Linked DNA regions of Coturnix japonica. The protein of the gene in region 1 purifies or fractionates together with the protein of each later gene. This does not show direct contact. Links are inferred from orthologs where the notes say so. Each region holds a gene or a part of one and is shown in the gene's direction. Other genes may lie near its edges.

The links.
Region 2: the proteins of SLMAP (region 1) and STRN3 purify together in Homo sapiens (affinity purification with mass spectrometry; 5 studies listed by BioGRID and IntAct, with this or other methods). This does not show direct contact. The link is inferred for Coturnix japonica from reciprocal best matches to the Homo sapiens genes SLMAP and STRN3.
Region 3: the proteins of SLMAP (region 1) and STK26 purify together in Homo sapiens (affinity purification with mass spectrometry; 5 studies listed by BioGRID and IntAct, with this or other methods). This does not show direct contact. The link is inferred for Coturnix japonica from reciprocal best matches to the Homo sapiens genes SLMAP and STK26.
Region 4: the proteins of SLMAP (region 1) and STK4 purify together in Homo sapiens (co-immunoprecipitation; 3 studies listed by BioGRID and IntAct, with this or other methods). This does not show direct contact. The link is inferred for Coturnix japonica from reciprocal best matches to the Homo sapiens genes SLMAP and STK4.
Region 5: the proteins of SLMAP (region 1) and STRN purify together in Homo sapiens (affinity purification with mass spectrometry; 5 studies listed by BioGRID and IntAct, with this or other methods). This does not show direct contact. The link is inferred for Coturnix japonica from reciprocal best matches to the Homo sapiens genes SLMAP and STRN.

The regions. Positions count from the first base shown.
Region 1 is NC_029527.1:6,442,476-6,446,784, forward strand, and holds the start of SLMAP (sarcolemmal membrane-associated protein), read left to right. Parts: upstream 1-1,493; 5' UTR 1,494-1,516; coding exon 1,517-1,714; intron 1,715-4,309. UniProt on the Homo sapiens protein: Associates with the striatin-interacting phosphatase and kinase (STRIPAK) core complex, forming the extended (SIKE1:SLMAP)STRIPAK complex.
Region 2 is NC_029520.1:30,872,862-30,876,377, forward strand, and holds part of STRN3 (striatin-3), read left to right. Parts: intron 1-200; coding exon 201-274; intron 275-837; coding exon 838-919; intron 920-1,221; coding exon 1,222-1,401; intron 1,402-1,826; coding exon 1,827-1,959; intron 1,960-2,556; coding exon 2,557-2,698; intron 2,699-3,516. UniProt on the Homo sapiens protein: Calmodulin-binding scaffolding protein which is the center of the striatin-interacting phosphatase and kinase (STRIPAK) complexes.
Region 3 is NC_029519.1:3,354,140-3,357,655, forward strand, and holds part of STK26 (serine/threonine-protein kinase 26), read left to right. Parts: intron 1-1,038; coding exon 1,039-1,269; intron 1,270-3,516. UniProt on the Homo sapiens protein: Serine/threonine-protein kinase that acts as a mediator of cell growth. Modulates apoptosis. In association with STK24 negatively regulates Golgi reorientation in polarized cell migration upon RHO activation.
Region 4 is NC_029535.1:4,579,250-4,582,765, reverse strand, and holds part of STK4 (serine/threonine-protein kinase 4), read left to right. Parts: intron 1-685; coding exon 686-800; intron 801-1,336; coding exon 1,337-1,501; intron 1,502-1,865; coding exon 1,866-2,033; intron 2,034-2,572; coding exon 2,573-2,710; intron 2,711-3,173; coding exon 3,174-3,302; intron 3,303-3,516. UniProt on the Homo sapiens protein: Stress-activated, pro-apoptotic kinase which, following caspase-cleavage, enters the nucleus and induces chromatin condensation followed by internucleosomal DNA fragmentation.
Region 5 is NC_029518.1:28,874,072-28,877,587, forward strand, and holds part of STRN (striatin), read left to right. Parts: intron 1-1,732; coding exon 1,733-1,868; intron 1,869-3,212; coding exon 3,213-3,348; intron 3,349-3,516. UniProt on the Homo sapiens protein: Calmodulin-binding scaffolding protein which is the center of the striatin-interacting phosphatase and kinase (STRIPAK) complexes.

The DNA.
Region 1 (4,309 bases):
ACCTGCTGCCGGCCCCAGCCGCCTCTCCCTCCCTCCCGTCCCGCTCTGAGGCTCCCGCCGGCTCCCTCAGCCCGTCACCCGGCTCAGGGCGTTGCTCCTCCTGTGCCGCAGCTTCACGGGCAGCACCGCGCATGAGCCGGAGGCCGATCCACTCCTGCGCAGTCTCCAGCTCCACAGCCGGGGGCGGCCGCCGCTCGTTCCCTATGGTCGGGGCCCCGCCGAGCACGGCTCCGCCCTCCGACCCCCGCCCCTCCCCGGCAGCGCCGCGGCTGTTACACCGGGTAGGTTTCCAGTCACTATGGCGGCGGCTGCGCTGAAGGTAAGGGAGGGAGCGGGGCTCCGCCGCGCCCCCGCTGCTCCCTCGGGGTCGGGCGCCGCTGGGCCGGGGGGAGGCGCGGGGCCGCGCCGGGCGGGGAACGAATCTGACCCGGTTTGTTTTCGGCTCCGCAGGTCGGAGGAAAGTTTTCGCGGTCGGCGGCCGCCTGAGAGGCAGAGCTACCGAGCGGGCCCCGCCGCCAGGCCCTCACAGCGCCGGGCCCTCACAGCGCCGGGCCCGAAGGAGACGCGCTCGGCGTGCGGAGAAGGCGCGGGGCGGCCCCCCATGAGCGGCCACCTGCGGCGGGGCTGAGCGGAGCCGTGGGCCGCCCCCTCTACCGGAGCGGTGTGGGGGCTTCGGAGGGACTTCCTGGAGCCGCCCCCCGCCGGCAGCGACCCGGAGCCGCAGCGAGCTGTCAGAGCGCCTGGGGCCCAGCGAGCTGCCCGCCGGCCTGGAACTGAGAGCGGAGCCGCGAGCCCGTTCCATGCCGCACCGAGCTCCTCGGCCCAGCGGCTTCGCGGGGCTGTAGAGCGCTTCGGCTTTATCTGGGGTTCGGCGTCGCTCTGGTAGCCCGGCCCGAGGAGCGCCTGTCTGCTTTAATGGACGATGATGAGGAGATGCGGACCGCCCTGTGACACGACCCGATCCCCGCTGCGGAGTGCGGGCTCTGCGACCGCCTTTCTGCTCCGTGAGCTCTGAGGGAGGACTCGGGTCCTTTTCCCCCTTCCCTAAACCTCTCTTTGCTTCCATGGTGCGGTGGTCAGTGTTGTTTACGGAAGGGGGAAAAAAAAGGAGGCGGTCGAGGTCCCAAACAAAAGTATTTGTATGACTCATCCACTTGGATTTAAGACGTTCTCTCCTTCTCTCAAGGAGCCTTTCCTTCTCTCTGAAGAAATCAGATGCTTGTTCCTGTTCTTCCAGAGGAGGATGGATTGAAAGTGGTACGTTTTAGACATTTTCTGGGCCACTGCTGATGTTGTTAAGAGACATAATGGGGCTTTTTCACTGGATTATTGCCAGAATTAGTTTACACACTGAAACCATGAGTTGTTAGGCCTCTCGTATGCGATAATGTTTGTCGTGCTTTAATGTAAACTTGCTGTGGAAGTTTGGCATAAAAATCGTGGAGGACGGTCTGCATCTGCATCAGAAGAGGTTGTCTTCGTCTCTGGTTGGTGTGGCAACCCCAATCTGTCCTCGATGCCTTCAGCCTTGGCCATCTTCACCTGCCGCCCCAACTCCCATCCGTTTCAGGAGCGTCATGTCTACCTGGATGAGCCCGTCAAGATCGGCCGCTCAGTGGCTCGCTGCAGGCCAGCTCAGAATAATGCGACTTTTGACTGTAAGGTGCTGTCCAGGAACCACGCACTTGTCTGGTTTGATCACAAGACAGGCAAGGTAAGATGTTTTGCTTGCTTGATTTAAAAATAGCAAACCTTATTTATTTGAGCGAGTCCCCAAATATTGCAGATCACTTTTGTTTCACCGTAATAAACGTGGCTGTGTGTGGAAGGATTGTGTTATAGTTAGTGATTAATTCTCTGGTAAACTGATAATTTCTTACCAAGCTGAAACTTTGTCAGTTCTTAAAAGTACTTAAAGCTAACAGTGCTGAAAAATGTGCGTGCTGGAGTGCGTGATTTTGAGGTGAGTAATAATTACAGATATGGCTCAGACTTGTGTGAATAATACGTTTATTTTTTTTTCCAAATACTAAGAACTGATTAACTGAGCGTGTAAATAAATCCCATTTTGAGCAGCTGGCAGAAAGCAGATTTAAAAGCGTGCTGGGTTTGTGTGCTGCTCTTCCTACATTTTTGAAATCATATATAGCGTGTTTTGTTTGGACCCGGTGGGTAGTGGGGGTGTAGCAGATGGCATACAAGGTATTTTCTCATTGCTAGTGAAAATGGTATTAAAATCCATCCGGAGATGTATTAACCTGCTGCTGTTTCCCTCAGAAAGGCAGTAGCTGTGGTGTTATGTGAAATACACAGGTTCTGTAGTGCATGTTTTGTCCGCTAGGGTTTGAACTGGGACAAGTAAAGCCATTTCACTCAATGGCTGTGAACTTAAATTTCAACAAGAAGGGAACGAAGTGCAGATTTCAGTTGCTCTGTGCTGTTATTTTCTTCCTCATGTGTTGATGTTCCACCCTGAAACTCCACCTGGTACAAATTAGCTCCTTTTTCTTTTTCTCTTTAAGCTTCCCTGCACGCTCTTCTGAGAAATGCGGTCAGTGTAGCTCTTGATTTCAGGAATAATAAAGTCAGTAATGAATGCTGTGTTTTTTACTAGTGTGACACAGCATGAAGGGCAGTAGAACAAAGTTCTTAAACCTTCCATTGTTAGCTATCCCCTGTTATGCAACACCTGGGCATGATGGGACAAGACAAGCGTTTAATTTCGTGAGGCTGGGTTATGGCATGGCTTTCAAGTTACTTGTAATTGTGTGAACTGCTATCTGTGATTCATTAAAAATACTGTTTTGGATCTATAATGTTTGTGATATACATTCTTGGACACTCTTAAGATCTTAAGTGCATGAAATATGGCTAATTTTAGTTTAAGCTCAGTTTTTAACTGTTTTTTGACACAAAGGGAAAGGTTTTACTTTATTGTACTGATTTGAATTGTAAAGGTATTGTACATATGGTTTTTTTAATCAACATTTTCATTCTTAATAAGCATTTTAAGACCCTTATGTGCCCTGTGATGGCTATAAATACTCTAGGCGTATTACAGGTGGTTTAATTAGAGAAAACACTGAATGTTGAGCAACTCTGCTAACTCAGAGAAGAGGTGAAGAGGGACCCAGTTGTTGTTTAGTACTGTTCTTAAATATTTAGTTAGCATTAGCTCCTCTAACACGTGTCAAAAAATGATACGCTTATTCCTTTTATCTTTAGCTGATCTAAAATAGCAACTTGGTAGTAGTAAATAAGATGGTAACATGTGATAGCTCTTGAAATACCATCATGTGAGAAGTTGATGGGGGGAATCTTGATGAAAATTGCGCAAATGAGAATCTGGATCAGTAGCCATAGTGATAACTAAATAAAGAGTGGGGTTTCAGATGATGCACAGGAATGTATCACTGTACGTTTTACATGTTGGAGCATTGCAAAAGGCAGAAAGAATTGATAAAGCAGAACACAGAGCTTTGGATTCTGTTTGCTTCATGACAACAGTGGTACATTTAGGGAAGACGGAGTTGGAGGAGGGGGGGAAATGCAGTGAAGGAGAGAATATGAAGTGCTGCTGGGAAAAGGTGGGTGGTGGTAAATACAATCTTAATCTGGAATCACAAAAGCTGCTTAAAACGCTGTGGTGTGTTAAATGAATAAACAAAAACCTAAATTATGCTGGAATATTTGCATGCGGGAATGTTCATTGCCATTGTTTACAGATCTTCTCATACGTGTATCTCATGTAGGAACGTATCATTATCCTATCCGGGATGTATATATAGGTCTGCCCAAGTTGTTTTTGCCGTAGCGGTTGTAAACATTTCTTAGAAGCTTATCAATAAGACTCTTACCAATATTGCTTTTCTGAGAGATAAGACCGTGAAATGTTAACTTAATAACAAAGAGAAATCCTTGAGAAATGTAAAAATAGTTCATGAATCATCTGGGGCCAGGCGCTGCTAAGCTGTGTGCTTCGATGGCAATGGCAGATCCTGCATTCCCAGCCTGTGCTCTCTGCTGCCTCTCCAGCCGCCTTTCTGCTGTGCTGCTGGTTTTTTTCCTTGAGGGTTTGGAGTTGTGTTTGTTTTGTTGTAGTGAATCATGTGAATGGTCCTGTGTGTGCTACATAGTCTGCAAATAACTGTATCAGCGTAATCTGTAGGGAAGGGTGGAAAGTGGGGAGAGGGAGCATTAGTAAAGTATGGGCAAGACAGCTGGTCAGTAAACAAACTTTTTGAGGCAGAGACAACCTCGAAACTTAGTATAAGGGCAGTCCATATGTGCAAAAAGCTGCCTTGTAGTA
Region 2 (3,516 bases), on another chromosome or scaffold:
TTGATTATTATAATTGTCTTTCTCAAACTTGTGTTCTTGACAAACTAGAACTAATTGCATGATACTGTAATTACTGTAAATTTTATTTGGATAAGGGGTGTTATGTTAACATGGTTGTTTTAAACAGGAGTAGGAAAATATTTGAGCTGATAAATTAGTACAGGATGCTTTTGTTAAATCTTTGCACATTTTTTTTCCAGGGCAAAATATCATAAATTGAAGTATGGCACAGAATTGAACCAAGGTGACTTGAAAATGCCAACTTTTGAATCAGGTAACTTCTATGATAGTACCTGTTCTAGAACAATTTCTTTGTCCTGTTCTAGATTTGCTCAATTTAGTGTAACTTTCTCCTTCCCCCCTCAATTACATTATAGAGGAAAAAAAATCCAGGAAAAGTTTGATATTAGGTAAATATTTTTGATTCGAAATCATAATGAATTGACCTTTCTCTTCTGAAACAACTGTGAGTATCAGTGAAAGTTTGGAATAGTTGCACAATTCCTTATTAAGCTGCTGCTTCTCTTACTGCTTTTTAAATTGCTGTTATAAAAGATTTAGCATTTCGTGTCAGTTTGACATCCATCTAGAAGGGAAGTTTAAGTGTACAATATGTATCAGATTTACTGTTGTTTGGTGCTACCACAAGAAAAAAAACAACCTTCTTTAATTAAAAGAAACTACTGCATAAGACTGCAAGTAACTTAAAGATTGCTTTTTGTAAATAATTGCTTTTCATTTCATTGTTGCATTGTGAAAAGTCAATTTTAAAAATTAAACAAAACCACAAAAAAAACCTTCTGAAAACCAGTAACTGCAAATGGTGCTGTCTTTCAGAAGAAACCAAAGATACGGAGGTTCCTGCAGTACCTCAAAATAGCCAACTCACCTGGAAGCAAGGCAGGCAGTTACTAAGACAGTAAGTAGCATTGTTGGAATGTTGGTGTATTCATGCTTTTTCCTGAGGTCTCAGGAGCTGTGTATGTGCATACTTTTTGATTTGGAGTAGTTGAGGTGGTCGCACGGTGGACCATGATGCAGGAGTTTGTAGTTTTGATCTTTAAACAGTGTACGTGGAGCTTTTTTGTGTGAGATGGACAGAGATAAAGCTTATCTTTTGTAAAATATATTATAGTAGTATTAATTTCTAAGTGTCAGTTCAGATTTATTTCCTTTTTCCATCAACTGTGCTTTCTTCTTTCTCCTTTTAATATATATTAGGTATCTTCAGGAAGTAGGTTATACAGATACGATATTGGATGTACGCTCCCAGCGGGTAAGGTCTTTGCTTGGGCTCTCCAATTCAGAACCAAATGGTTCAGTAGAGACAAAGAATTTAGAGCAGATCCTCAATGGGGGCGAATCTCCTTCATCAAAACAAAAGGGACAGGAAATCAAAAGGTAAGTGAGGAGGTGAGAAATGCGTGTAGTTTAAGTTTGTCTATGTAGTCATTTTAATGTACCAAAGTTCGCGAAGAACTTCAGACTCTCAATTCTCTGAACTGTGAGCGTAGCTAACTACAAATGATTATGAACTTCATTGAAACTGATTGTATGCCTTGCATGGGAAAGATAGGGTTGTATGACATGTATTCAGATTCAGTGCAGCTTTGGAATTAACATTTTAAGGAAAGTTACAGCTGAGTGATGTAACTTGAAGAATTAGACTGCTGTAGAAACTTCATACAGTCATTTCTTGGTTTTTGCTAGTTTTTAAAATTGTTGAGCTGTTGAGTCAGACAGCCATTGTGTTAATGTTAATGAATCTCCCAAAAATCTCATGAGCAAGTAAAACTCTCTCCTTGTTAATTTTTTTGTTTTTGTAGGAACTCTGGTGATGTTCTTGAAACATTTAACTTCTTAGAAAATGCGGATGATAGTGATGAAGAAGAGGAGAGTGACATGATAGAAGATATTGCAGAAGGAAAAGAGAAGCACCGGATAAATAAGAAACACAAAGTAAAAAAACAATTTTAAGATATTGTTTTGCATGCACAAACTCTTATCTTAAAAGGGAAATATCTTTCCCTTTTTTCCCTAGATAGTTAAAATTATGTCCTTTCTCTTATTCCATGCTAGAAAATTCTTTCACTGTGATTTTTTTTTTTTTCACACAAGGAGGTTGATTTAGGGCAGTTATACCGCCAATTTTCTGTAGTATTCTGTAGTGTGGAAGTGCCTACGGCTGCCTTGAATTTTCATAAGTAACTCAGCTGTCATTCAACATTATCTCAGCTTAGTGTAAGTTTGAATGTCCCAGTTTGACTTGTTAGGAAGGTTTTTGCACTGTACCTGTAGTTAATAACTTGTACATCTAGTACAAGTTGTTGCTAAACCTCATGTCAGTATTCTTTTCTAATGATTACTTTACTGTGCTGCTCTCTTTTCTTCTGTAGTTGTTGTAAACAACTCTAGTTCTGTGTGGATTTGAATGTGTTTCATGTTGAAAATAAAGCAAAGTCTTCAATGAGCATAATCGCTATCATTTATAATTAAACATTTGAGTAGATAAAGGTTGGTGGTTAAAATGCAGAAATGTTCTTCATTTGATTGCAGATTGGTAATGAAGGTTTAGCTGCTGACCTTACTGATGATCCCGATACTGAAGAAGCCTTGAAAGAATTTGATTTTTTAGTGACAGCTGAAGATGGTGAGGGAGCTGGAGAAGCCCGAAGTTCTGGAGATGGAACAGAGTGGGGTAAGATGCTAACAAAACAATTTAGAAATGAAGTAATACTTGTTCATGACAGTACAGTACCTTCACAAGTTGCATGGGTGTGCGGATGGTTGTGATGCTGGTTATTAGCTATAAATGTATTGAATGTTGAAGCTTCCATATTTTATGTTATTTTAGTTGACAGAAATATAATTATACTTCCAAATGTTTTGCTTTTGATTCCAGAAAAATCCAATTAAAGGAATATATTGCTTGAATAAGACCAGGATTCTGAATGTTTTTGTATTTGAATTAAATTGGCTTTTGAATTTTGATTTGTGTTCTGTTTTTGTGATAGGGAGCTTTAGACTTGCGTTCAGCTTAAATTAATTTCTTTGGTGCCCTTGTAAAAATTAATTTTGAAGGTACCAAGGATTAGAAAGTGTTTGTTGCTTGGAAATAGCATCAAAAAGTCAATAACCCTTTCTTTTAAATTTTTTTCCAAGCTCATCTTTGTTTCTAGTTGGAAGGTGAAGGCATGCAAGTTGTACTACATACATAATACTACATACTTTTGGTAGTATTTACTGGGATTTAGAAGCATTTTAGTTGCCTTTAAAGACTATGTCATTTGACTAGTGTATTGGTCTTTTTATTTAGCCAAGCAGGCAGGTCTGTCAGTATGAGAATTCTCTTAGGCCCTGAAGCCAAGGTTCTGATTTTGAATTTGCACTTTCCTTTCAAATATTGAGTGCAAAGAATTCTGGTTTCTGAATCAGTCTTACCAGTATGATGTATAGGAAGACATACATAGCACTTCTTTTCTTTCATGATGTAGCTCTGTTTTCTTCTCAGTGTTT
Region 3 (3,516 bases), on another chromosome or scaffold:
AAATGATGCTGTAAAGATGTTTTGTTTCCCGTTGGTACTAGAGTTGTGTGTTGTGCAGGGTAATCCATGCAGCAGATGCACAATGGCTGCCTTTGCCAAAGCTGTCACTTCTGTCAGGGCAGTTCACTTGATCTGCTGGGTAAGCATGACGTGTAGGGATACAGGAGAGACATCAGAATCAGAGGGCCTTTGGGTTTTCTTGTTCGCGGCAAGTTAGCAGCAGCAAAGTTGCTGCAAGTGTTAGAGGTCCTCTTCTCTCTTCCCTCTGATTCCTTGAATGGAGCTGGGAAGCGTTAAGACCTTTGTATGATGTCAGTGCTGATCATAGAGCAGTTAACCTTCCAAGGAAACCAGATGTCCTCATGAGTGCTGTACTGTCTGGTGCTGTGTTCCTCATCCAAGGCGTGTTTGGGTGATATCAGCTCGTTCTGACCAGTGCTTCAAGTTTAATTTCTGCATCTGTACTCCTTTGAATGTCTCTCAGTGCCTTTTGTTGCCTTACATCTTAGCAGATCTCAAAAGCTCAGTGTGCTTGGGTGGAGGATGCTGCTAATGGGCTCCGGGTGCTGTAGTCCTCTTGCAGCTACCTCTGTGTTTTATTACTTGAAGTGGAGCTTTGTCTGCCCAAGGCTGTTGACCTCATAGGTGAGCCCAGCCTTATTCACATGGGGAATGATGTTAGCACTTCTGTGCCAGTAATTGCATTCTGTAGACTTCTGAATTACCACACAGACAGGATCAGTATTAAGAACAGCTCTATTCTTTCCTTTAAAAGCATTATGTGGGAAATGAGATTTGTACCTGTTGCTTTCGATGGTGAAATTCACTTACCTTTGACATAATTGTATAATATACATTTTGTAACTAATAGCTGAATTAGAAGTGAGTGTATAGGAAATAAATTCATCTGATACGAGCACTCTAATAATGATAAATCTGGGTGATGTGTTTCATGGGCATTAATGAGGGCTAATAACTTGGAAGTAAATGAAGATAGCTCATCTTTTATTTATTTATTTATTTTAACTTTTTCTCTAGAACCATAGAGCAGACCCAGAAGAATTATTCACAAAACTGGAACGCATTGGGAAAGGCTCCTTTGGTGAAGTCTTTAAAGGAATTGATAATCGGACGCAGCAAGTGGTTGCTATAAAAATCATAGACCTCGAGGAAGCAGAAGATGAAATAGAAGATATACAGCAAGAGATAACTGTTTTAAGTCAGTGTGATAGTCCTTATGTAACGAAATACTATGGATCATATTTAAAGGTAATGTATCTTACTGCACAAACATTTACTAGCAATGTGTCAGCCCATTTTGAATGATGCACAGGGAAGTTCCTATAACTGAGAAAGTGTTATCACATCAACTTGACTTTCTGTTTTTCCCTTTGAATGGAGTTGCCTTTGTTCTGCATCTTTTGCTGCATGTTCCTTAAAGCTCAGATCTTCACAAAATGGCTACAAAAGGAGCGGAGTTGACAGAAGATTCCTATTGCTATTGAGCTTATAAAATTACATGGAGGAAGAGGTTTTCTCTTCTTTCTTCCCTCACAACTTCCAGTGAAATTTTGAGCCTTTTTGGAGGGGGAAAAATATGTTTTCATAGCTAGACTAACAAAAAAGAGAAACCCTCCTTTGATATGGAAGGAAACGCTGCACCGTGTGGAGATGTTTGTAGTTGTGTGTTATAGTAGGCCTGAAACAAAGTAGAACTGACAACAGTACAAAGTGGTTATGTAACTCTCGTGTTATCTAAGGCTTAAATTAAGAAACAAGCTTTAAAAAAAGGAAACATCAACACACACAACAATGCTCAGCCCTACAGAGATAAAAATTGGAAGTATATGAATGTATAGCACTGACAGAATAGTTGGATGTAACTTCCAGCTCCTGGTCTGGGTTTTCTGCTCTTTAAAAATTCCTGGCAAGCGCAGGAGTGTGTTAATTCTGCATTACTTTCCTTGTTTGGGTTCTTTCCATTTTTTAATGCATTCTGAAAGATTAATGCTGGTCCCCTGGTTTTTCTTGTCTACTATTTTGGGGGAAACATTTTTGGGTGATGTTTGTAGAGTTGTTTGTGAAATTTTGTTTATTTTCCCTTAAGAAACTTCCCTTAAAAAAATAAATCACAGGATTGTTTTTAATCCCATACTAGCATGGCAGTTAATTTTATTGCTTGCTCTTCCCTGCCTTAGACTAGATTCATCCTTGTTTGCTAGTACTGGTTCTTTCAGCTTGAGATTTCTCAGGTGGGAGAGTGTATTGGCTTTGGTAGAAGTGTCCAAATAATCTTTTATGCTGACTCTAATTTTGGTACTGACAAGCATTTCGAGAGTACTATCTGTCTATTCTTAAAAGTAAAAACTAAGGTTGCTGTAGCTTCTAACTTTCTATTAGCTGTAGTTCTGAGGATGGCTGTCAGCCTTAGTATGAAGCTGTTCAGTATTTTGTTCTGCATATTCTGTAGACTTCTTCTGGAAATGAAGTATGTACAGTTTTGTACAAAATGACTTAATAATTAAAGGTTAAAGAATGTTGAGGCTAGATCCTGAAACTTAAGGTCTGTTATTTCATAGAAAGCAGAGTCTTAGGCTGCTGAGTGCAATAGCAGTTCTTAGTGGATATGACTGGCACCAAGATTACATCAGGAGTGATCAAATAGGCTTGTTGGTTTTATACATAAAGATTATTGAAAATAGCTCCTAGAAATACTTTTCAAAGGTAGTGGCAAAAAGAGCATAAGTGTATTTCAGTATTTAAGAAGTAACCAACTTTATTGAACTTCAAATAAGCAGATGGTTACTGCCATCAAGTACCAGTCAGCTTCAGCTCTTCTCCTTTGTAAGAAAACACATTTGATAATTGAATGTTATGATGAAAACTTTAAACAACGTATGTTAACTGCAAGGATTCTGTAACTGTTCAGCCTTTCAGATGAGGTTGTTTTTCCCTCTGTATACAATTTATTTTAAATATTCTGGAGCTTTACATGGTTCTTAGTTTCTTGCATGTCAGGATGCAGAGCCAGTGTTGTTACTAACAGGAATGGAGCGGCCCAGTCCCAGTGGCCCTGTGACTTACCAGCAGCACTCAGGATCTTCCCAGTGATCCTCCTGCTAAGCAGAAACTGAACAGGAGGAGGAAAGAGTGTCTTTATCTCAATTACTTGACTTACTAATTTGTAACCTAGTCAGCTCAACTGATGCCATATGAGATACTCTTATATTCTGCAGCCTAGCTGCTCTTTAGCTACAGCTTGCATCTTTGACTTGTAAATGTGATTTTAAGAAATACAGACAGCCCCTAAGCATTTTTACTTAACAATGTAGTGTTATTTGTCTGTTAGTAGATATTTTAAAAACGTTATTGAGATAAGTTAGGGTCATCTTCCTTACCACTGAGATAAGACTGGTGCTAATTTTCCATTATCGTGACACAAAAAGGTGCAAAATTCCCAAATCACAAAGACATGGGGTACCTTTGTATCTTGAACTTTGGAGCTCAAATGGGAAT
Region 4 (3,516 bases), on another chromosome or scaffold:
TGTGCTTCTGTTCTTTAGCATTGTCCTTGCTAAACCATACAGTTCTCTCTGTTAGCTTTTTTGCTTTACCTTTTCCAAAGGATAAGTGGTCATTCTGACTGTGCCATACTTCGTTGTTCACCCCTTGGGCAGCCCATTAGTTGACTATATGGGAAAGATGTAGGTTGTACTTAACATAAGTTGCATTTCTGAACTGATTAATAGAGTAAGAAGGTGAAGGTTCCTCATAATGACCACAGTAGCAGTTTTCCAGCTTTTGACCTTATTTAATCTTTCTCTTTGGTTTCAGACACTGCAGCAGCTTTACCAGGATCTGCCATGGTCTGTTTCTCATTCCATTGATGCCCTCCCTACTTGTTTGCCACAGTTCAGGGAGCAAAACCAGACTGAAAGCTAATTGCTCCTTTTCCGTTTCTGCAGGATTTACTTTCAGACGTTTTAGCCCCCTGAGCTGCCTTTGTGACAGGTCACAAGGACACCACTGCTAGGACAGGCCTGGAGGGCTGTGGTCACTCACTGTAGACTCAGGCTGGTGTGAAACACTTGGTCAGGGCTTCAGTGGCACTTCCATGCCTGAGTTTTTAGAACCTGCTTAGGGAGGCTGCAGTATTCTTTGCCTTTGCTTATTCAGTTGTGCTGCTCTCCAGTATTTGACCCTTTGTTCTTCTTTTTTCACGTTTCATAGCCCTCATGTGGTGAAATATTACGGCAGCTACTTTAAGAACACAGACCTGTGGATCGTCATGGAATACTGCGGCGCTGGATCCGTGTCTGATATTATTCGGTTACGAAATAAAACTGTACGTAGTCTCCTCTGAATGCTGGGAATGGGGAGCAGGAGTGGTAGCTCAGGAAACTAAGTGGCATGTGCAGTGCTTTGGGTATAATTCTCATAGGTGTTTAACATCTAAAACAATCATGGGCCACCACTGCAATGTGGGTCCTTTGTTCCCCTGAAGATATGGAGGCTCGTTATGTTGATCAAGTTTGGGTTGTTTGGTTAATGCAATCAGTTTGCATGGTTTTGATACGGTGTTTGGTTGGCTTTCCTGAAAACCCAGATGGATTCAGAATTGACAGACTGCTTTGCCTTGCTCTGGCTTTGCAGGGTAAGAATTAGTAGGTGTGAAAGGCTGTGGTGCGGATGTGTAAGGATGCTGATCGAAAGCTAATTCTCATATGTAAGGCTGCTACCTTGGAGTATGTGTACTTCCCTATTAGTATGGCAACCTTTAATGAAAGCAATTAAATAACTATATCTCAGGGAGGTATAAACTGCGACACCACTGTGTGCCATCTCGGAAACCGAGAGGTTGAGAGTAACACTTCTTTTTAGCTTACAGAGGAGGAAATTGCTACGATAGTACAATCAACACTGAAAGGACTGGAATACTTGCATTTTATGAGGAAAATACATAGAGATATCAAAGCTGGAAATATATTGCTAAATACAGAGGGACATGCTAAGCTTGCAGATTTTGGAGTGGCAGGACAACTCACAGTAAGTAAAACCAAGATGATTATGTGCACTTCAGTTCTTCTTTCTAACGTACACATAAGCATCATGTGCTTGTGGAGACCTTGAGACATTCAGAAGTGTTTTTAGCACTTTACATCAACATAATGAGACACTAAAGCAGCAGCAAAGCTTCCTCTGTGGGAGCTGTTAGGCCTAAGTAATGGTTTGTAATAATGTATGCTGTTTGCTTCAGTTCATGTCTGACATCTGCGAGCATATTTCAGTTTCTCTCTGCAGCTTTCCATATCTTTATCTTGCTTAATCTGGTAATATATGTGTGTGCAGGTGGAAGATAATTAGGATTGTAAATGTGTGCTCTGGATCTTTATCCTGCTCTTCTTTTCAGGATACCATGGCAAAGAGGAACACAGTTATAGGAACTCCATTTTGGATGGCTCCAGAAGTGATTCAAGAGATTGGATATAATTGTGTTGCAGACATCTGGTCGCTGGGAATCACTGCAATAGAAATGGCTGAAGGCAAACCACCATATGCAGATATTCATCCTATGAGGGTGAGGGCTGTGACTTTAAAATGCATTGCGATGCAAAAGTGATTTGCTATTACAGCTGGGTGAGTGATGCATCAAGATGCCATCTTGTTTATAATTTAGAGGATATGATTTGCTTTCTGTCAGTTTGTTGTGCTGTTGATTAAATGAAAGATGGAGGAGGAAAATCATGATCCTCATCTATCAAGGCACAGCTGAAACTTCTGCTGTTGAGTGTGAATACAGATACTTTATGCTGTGGATCATACAAAATGATTCTTTATCTTGCAAGCAACCACATATTTTTATGACTTTAAAATGGCAGATTCACACCTCTTGGTGCAGATAATGGCTCAGACAGACGTGTAGGCTTCTAGTGAGAACAGCCTGATTTGTTGTTCCATCCTCTGAGCAGCTTAATGTATAAAATATTGGTACAAACTCTTCAGAAGCAGCAAACTTGAACCATGTATCATTCTTTAGTGCCTGTGGATGTTTTGATTCATTTTTGTTAGGAGGTTTTAAACTCTGTTTGGAAACCTGGAATATTCTTCTCTTTTTAGGCAATCTTCATGATTCCTACCAACCCACCCCCAACGTTTCGGAAACCAGAGCTCTGGTCAGATGCTTTCACGGACTTTGTGAAGCAGTGTCTGGTCAAGAGCCCCGAGCAGCGTGCTACTGCAACACAGCTCCTGCAGGTCTGCCTTGTCTTGGGAGAATGGGAATGTTAGAGAAGGCTTGCTGTAGTGTAGGCAGTGCTGCGCCTATTTGGCTGATGTAAAAACCCTGTACCCAACTTCAACCTTTCAGTTCTTCCTTAAGATCTAGTCTGAATCCTGTCTTTGTGGATGCTTTTGTTTGTTGGTGTTGTTTTTTTTTAACCTTCAGATTCTCACCAGCAATGCCAAGTAACTGGCTCTTAACCCACCAGAAAGGAACTAGATGAACTTTAAGGTCCCCTCCAACCCAAGCTATTCTGTGATTCTAAGTAACTGCTCAGAATGGTGCATGCATTTGTAGTTGGTTGTCGACAATTGAGCTGGTGAGGAATAAGTAGTGCTTGTGTGTGGGGAATGAGCCCCAGTAACCCCATGGTAATGATGTTCTACTGCTCTGTGTTAGTTCAAGTGCAGTGCTTACTAACTTTAACATACCACACAGCATCCATTTGTTAAGAGTGCCAAAGGAGCATCAATCCTGCGCGATTTGATTAACGAAGCGATGGATATAAAACTGAAACGCCAAGAGGCACAGCAGCGTGAACTGGATCAAGAAGATGAAGAAAATTCAGTGAGTATTTAATAGCTACAGTATACAGAGCTCAGCCTCTTGGACCTCGCATAATGCTAAGCTGCTTTGTTCCTTATTTTTATAATGTATTGTTCAGCTGCCCATGGGTTTTATATGATTCTTGAGTTTTGTACTTAGGGCTGCTTAACTTGATGTTTGAGCTCTGCTCAACCTTTATGTTTGAATGGGGCAGTCAGCAAATATGACCTTGTAT
Region 5 (3,516 bases), on another chromosome or scaffold:
TTGCTACAAGTTAGGTATTATAGATTATACAGATTGAAACATTATAGTCTGCCAGTGCATTCATTACTTAAGGAAAAAGAACAGTATTACAGTGACAAAATACTACAAGAAGCAAGGCAAATTGGAAGCATGTTGGAGGCTGCTCTCATGTAAGATAAAGGACAGAAGAATTAATAAGCTTAGTAAAACTACAGACTGTGAAAATGCACAGCAGTACATCACTGTATATTATACTGCTTTGTGTGTGGAATTTATAGTGGCAAGTGAATTTGTTAAAGGTATTTTCAGTCAGTGCAGATGGGTAAAGAGATTAAATTGTCTTATAAAGATGCAGATACTGGAGCTATACAGAAACTACTTCTGCTAATGATTATCATGTATGCCTAGAAATAATTGAGTGGAGGCAGCATAAAGGAGGAATTGTTTTGTTTATCACGCCATATTACACATCCGAGCTTTTGACCTTGATTGTTTCCTGTAATAAGCCTTGGCAAAGTGTTACGAAGAAACTCTGGAATAAAAGGCTGATGGACAGATAATCAGGTGTTTACACTACAGGGTGTTTACAAGGCCTTACTGTATAGCATTGTCAGTTGATTGAACCTTTTCAAATGGGTCATAGAAGAAGCAAAATACAGCATTAGTAAGGCACTTGCTGTCAGAAAGGATGAGTGTACAAGACAATTTAGAACTATAATTCTTAAATAAGAGGGAGAGACTTCTATGGTTTCAGTGGTTGTGAAAATCAAGATGACGTACATGTAGTGATGAACTATGCAACACCAACTGCTTGTTAAAGGTAAGAAAACAGTAGTAAAGTCTGTCTTCTTTGTAGTTTTAAAGTCACAGAAGTACTTTAAAGGGTTTTACTACAGTTCACACTGAATGTTGGTTTGTTTTTTTCCGCAACTTTATCTCTGATATAGAATTCATCTTCTGCATAAAAACATACCTCTTAGTAATTTTGGAATTGCTTTAATTTTACATTCATTACAATTTTATTTAGTGGTTACAGTTCTGTTTTTTTGAGTTCTTTCTGTTTAGCTGTTAATATGACAACTCTTAGTTCCTGTTCTGGAGACACTCACTGAGTTTGTGCCAGTGTTGTTGGTCATAATTTTACCCAGTTTTCATTCTCTCTGTTTATTTAGTGTTAACATCTAAGTAAGAGTCACTTAGTTGTCAAGGATGTTTTTTCATTATATTGTTTTATAATGGCCAACTTAGCATATTACAAAAGTTAATGGATGATAGATGTAGAGTTTTTTTTCCCACAAGATGGAGAATGTCGGTTAGCAGCAGCAAAGATTTCCTGTACCCTGGGGTACACAGGCCAGCTTAGTGTAGCTGCAACTTATACCCTGGTTCCTACAACTTACTGTGTTGATATATCAGTATTGATAAAACTTTGTGGTATGTAACAGCTGGAGAGTGCTTACAAATACTTCTAAAATTAAAAATGAAAACAGCAACAACAAAAAACTATAATGTGCCTGTCCTGGTAATTGCAGCTGGATAAAGAATAACAGTTGGTTGTCATAAGATGAATTTATGGATAACATTTAGATTTTTAACCAACAAACGTTTTTATCTGTAAATAGTCCATTTTTACCTGTAGGCTTATTTTAATTTCGTGTGTTGTTAGACGCCATAAAATAGAACAGACTGGTAAATGCAAAAGTGATGTTGTAATGGTTTCTTTTGACTCATAGTGGTTGTTGTTGTTGTTTAGGAAGCCAGAATTGACTGACTCTGCCTCTCTGCTAGAGACCTTCAAGTTCCTCGAAAATGCAGCTGCAGACTTTAGTGATGAAGAAGATGAGGAAGATATTGAAGGAAGAGAGAAAACAATCATTGATAGCGCAACAGTGAGTGGAAAAAATAATTGAAAAAGTTACGAAGAACAGAAAAAGTGAGATTAATGAGATGCCTATATGCAAAGTATATGACTGTGTATGTACACGTGCAAATCATTAATGCATCTTTATGATGGTCTGTCCAAGCATGTGTGCACAGGAGCAGTTCATGCATACAAGTTGAGCTTTGCTATCTGTCTTGCTGGAAGTTTGCAGTGACATACTTTGGACTTCTACTTTATACCAACTAGTAGTTTTGATATATGTTCAATGCAGTTTTTAAAGTACCAGATATCTTTATTATTATTTTCTAAATTTTTTCAGTGCGTTTTATATTTAAAGTGACTTGTAGAATTTTCTGCTTGTAGGGTTCAGGACTGAAATACCACCTTTGATTTAAGTGAGTTGTTGAAGAAAGAAAAAGTGTAACTGGAAATTTTTTAAAATGTGGTTTATAAACTTGTTTGTTTGTGTATTCAGTCAATGCCTGACTCCATTCCTCATGATGTGTACTTTGCAACGTGATTTGGTCAAATGATCATATTAAGTACATACATGCAAATTATACTCAATTTTATCCTTTTCTTTTTGGAATGAATACTTATTAATTGAACTGTGCTTCCAAAAAGTTGAAAAAGATATAACTTAACATGGATGCGATCATTTTTATGATCAACTGTAAGAATGAACTCTTAGAGTTGTAAAGGTTTTTTCAAAGAGGATCTTGTAGTTGGTGGGCTGTGAACTAATGTCTGAAACAGTGTTGAGGTTCCAAGTCAAAAATGCAGTTTAAACATGAAGTATTGTGTATAAATAACTAATGTCTGCGGACATGTTAAAATGAAATGATTTTTGCCAAACCTATGCAAATTAGTGCTTTCCTTAGGTATTTTTCTAGGCTAATCTTCTAGTTTTTTAGAGCGATTTCAGAGGTGAGCTGGGTTATTTTCAGGATAGAAGAACCAATTTGGCTTTGCTGAAGTTCTTCCTATGGCATTGTGTTGGGGTATTTTGTTCTTTGTGTATTTAGGTAGTTTTTCTTTTTCTTTTTCTTTTTTTTTTATCTCTATCAAAAGAAAGTTTGTACTTTTCTGGCATTTAAAAGACTGATAATCATATACATCATTGTAGATTCATTATCAAGTGATTGAATATTGATAGTTACAGGAAGTAATTATACAGGTGATTTTCATTTTTACTTTGAAATTTGAAGGAAACCTTTATGTTAATTTTAGGTTTATCAATTTCTTCCTGCTTCTTAAATTTCCTGTTAGAATTTTGTATAGAAGGCAGTACTGACAGATATAAACATCATGCCGTCTAATTCAGTTTTTTCTTTCCTTCCTCATATTTCAGATTGTAAGGAAAAGAGTGCTGTCTGACAGTAGTGAAGACAGAGATACAGAAGAAGCTCTGAAAGAATTTGACTTTTTGGTTACATCAGATGAAGGTGATGGGGAATCAAGAAGTTCAGGAGATGGAACAGACTGGGGTAAGGAAATGTAATGGAATGTATCAGGTGAAAGAAAATGCACTAAGAGTATGTGGTAATTTGTTGATTGTGGTCTCTGTCGTAATAGGAATGCCTTTTGAATGTTCATATAGTAAATTCCTTCATTGCCAGATTGAGATTCTTGTGACATGATTTTCTCATTTTTGT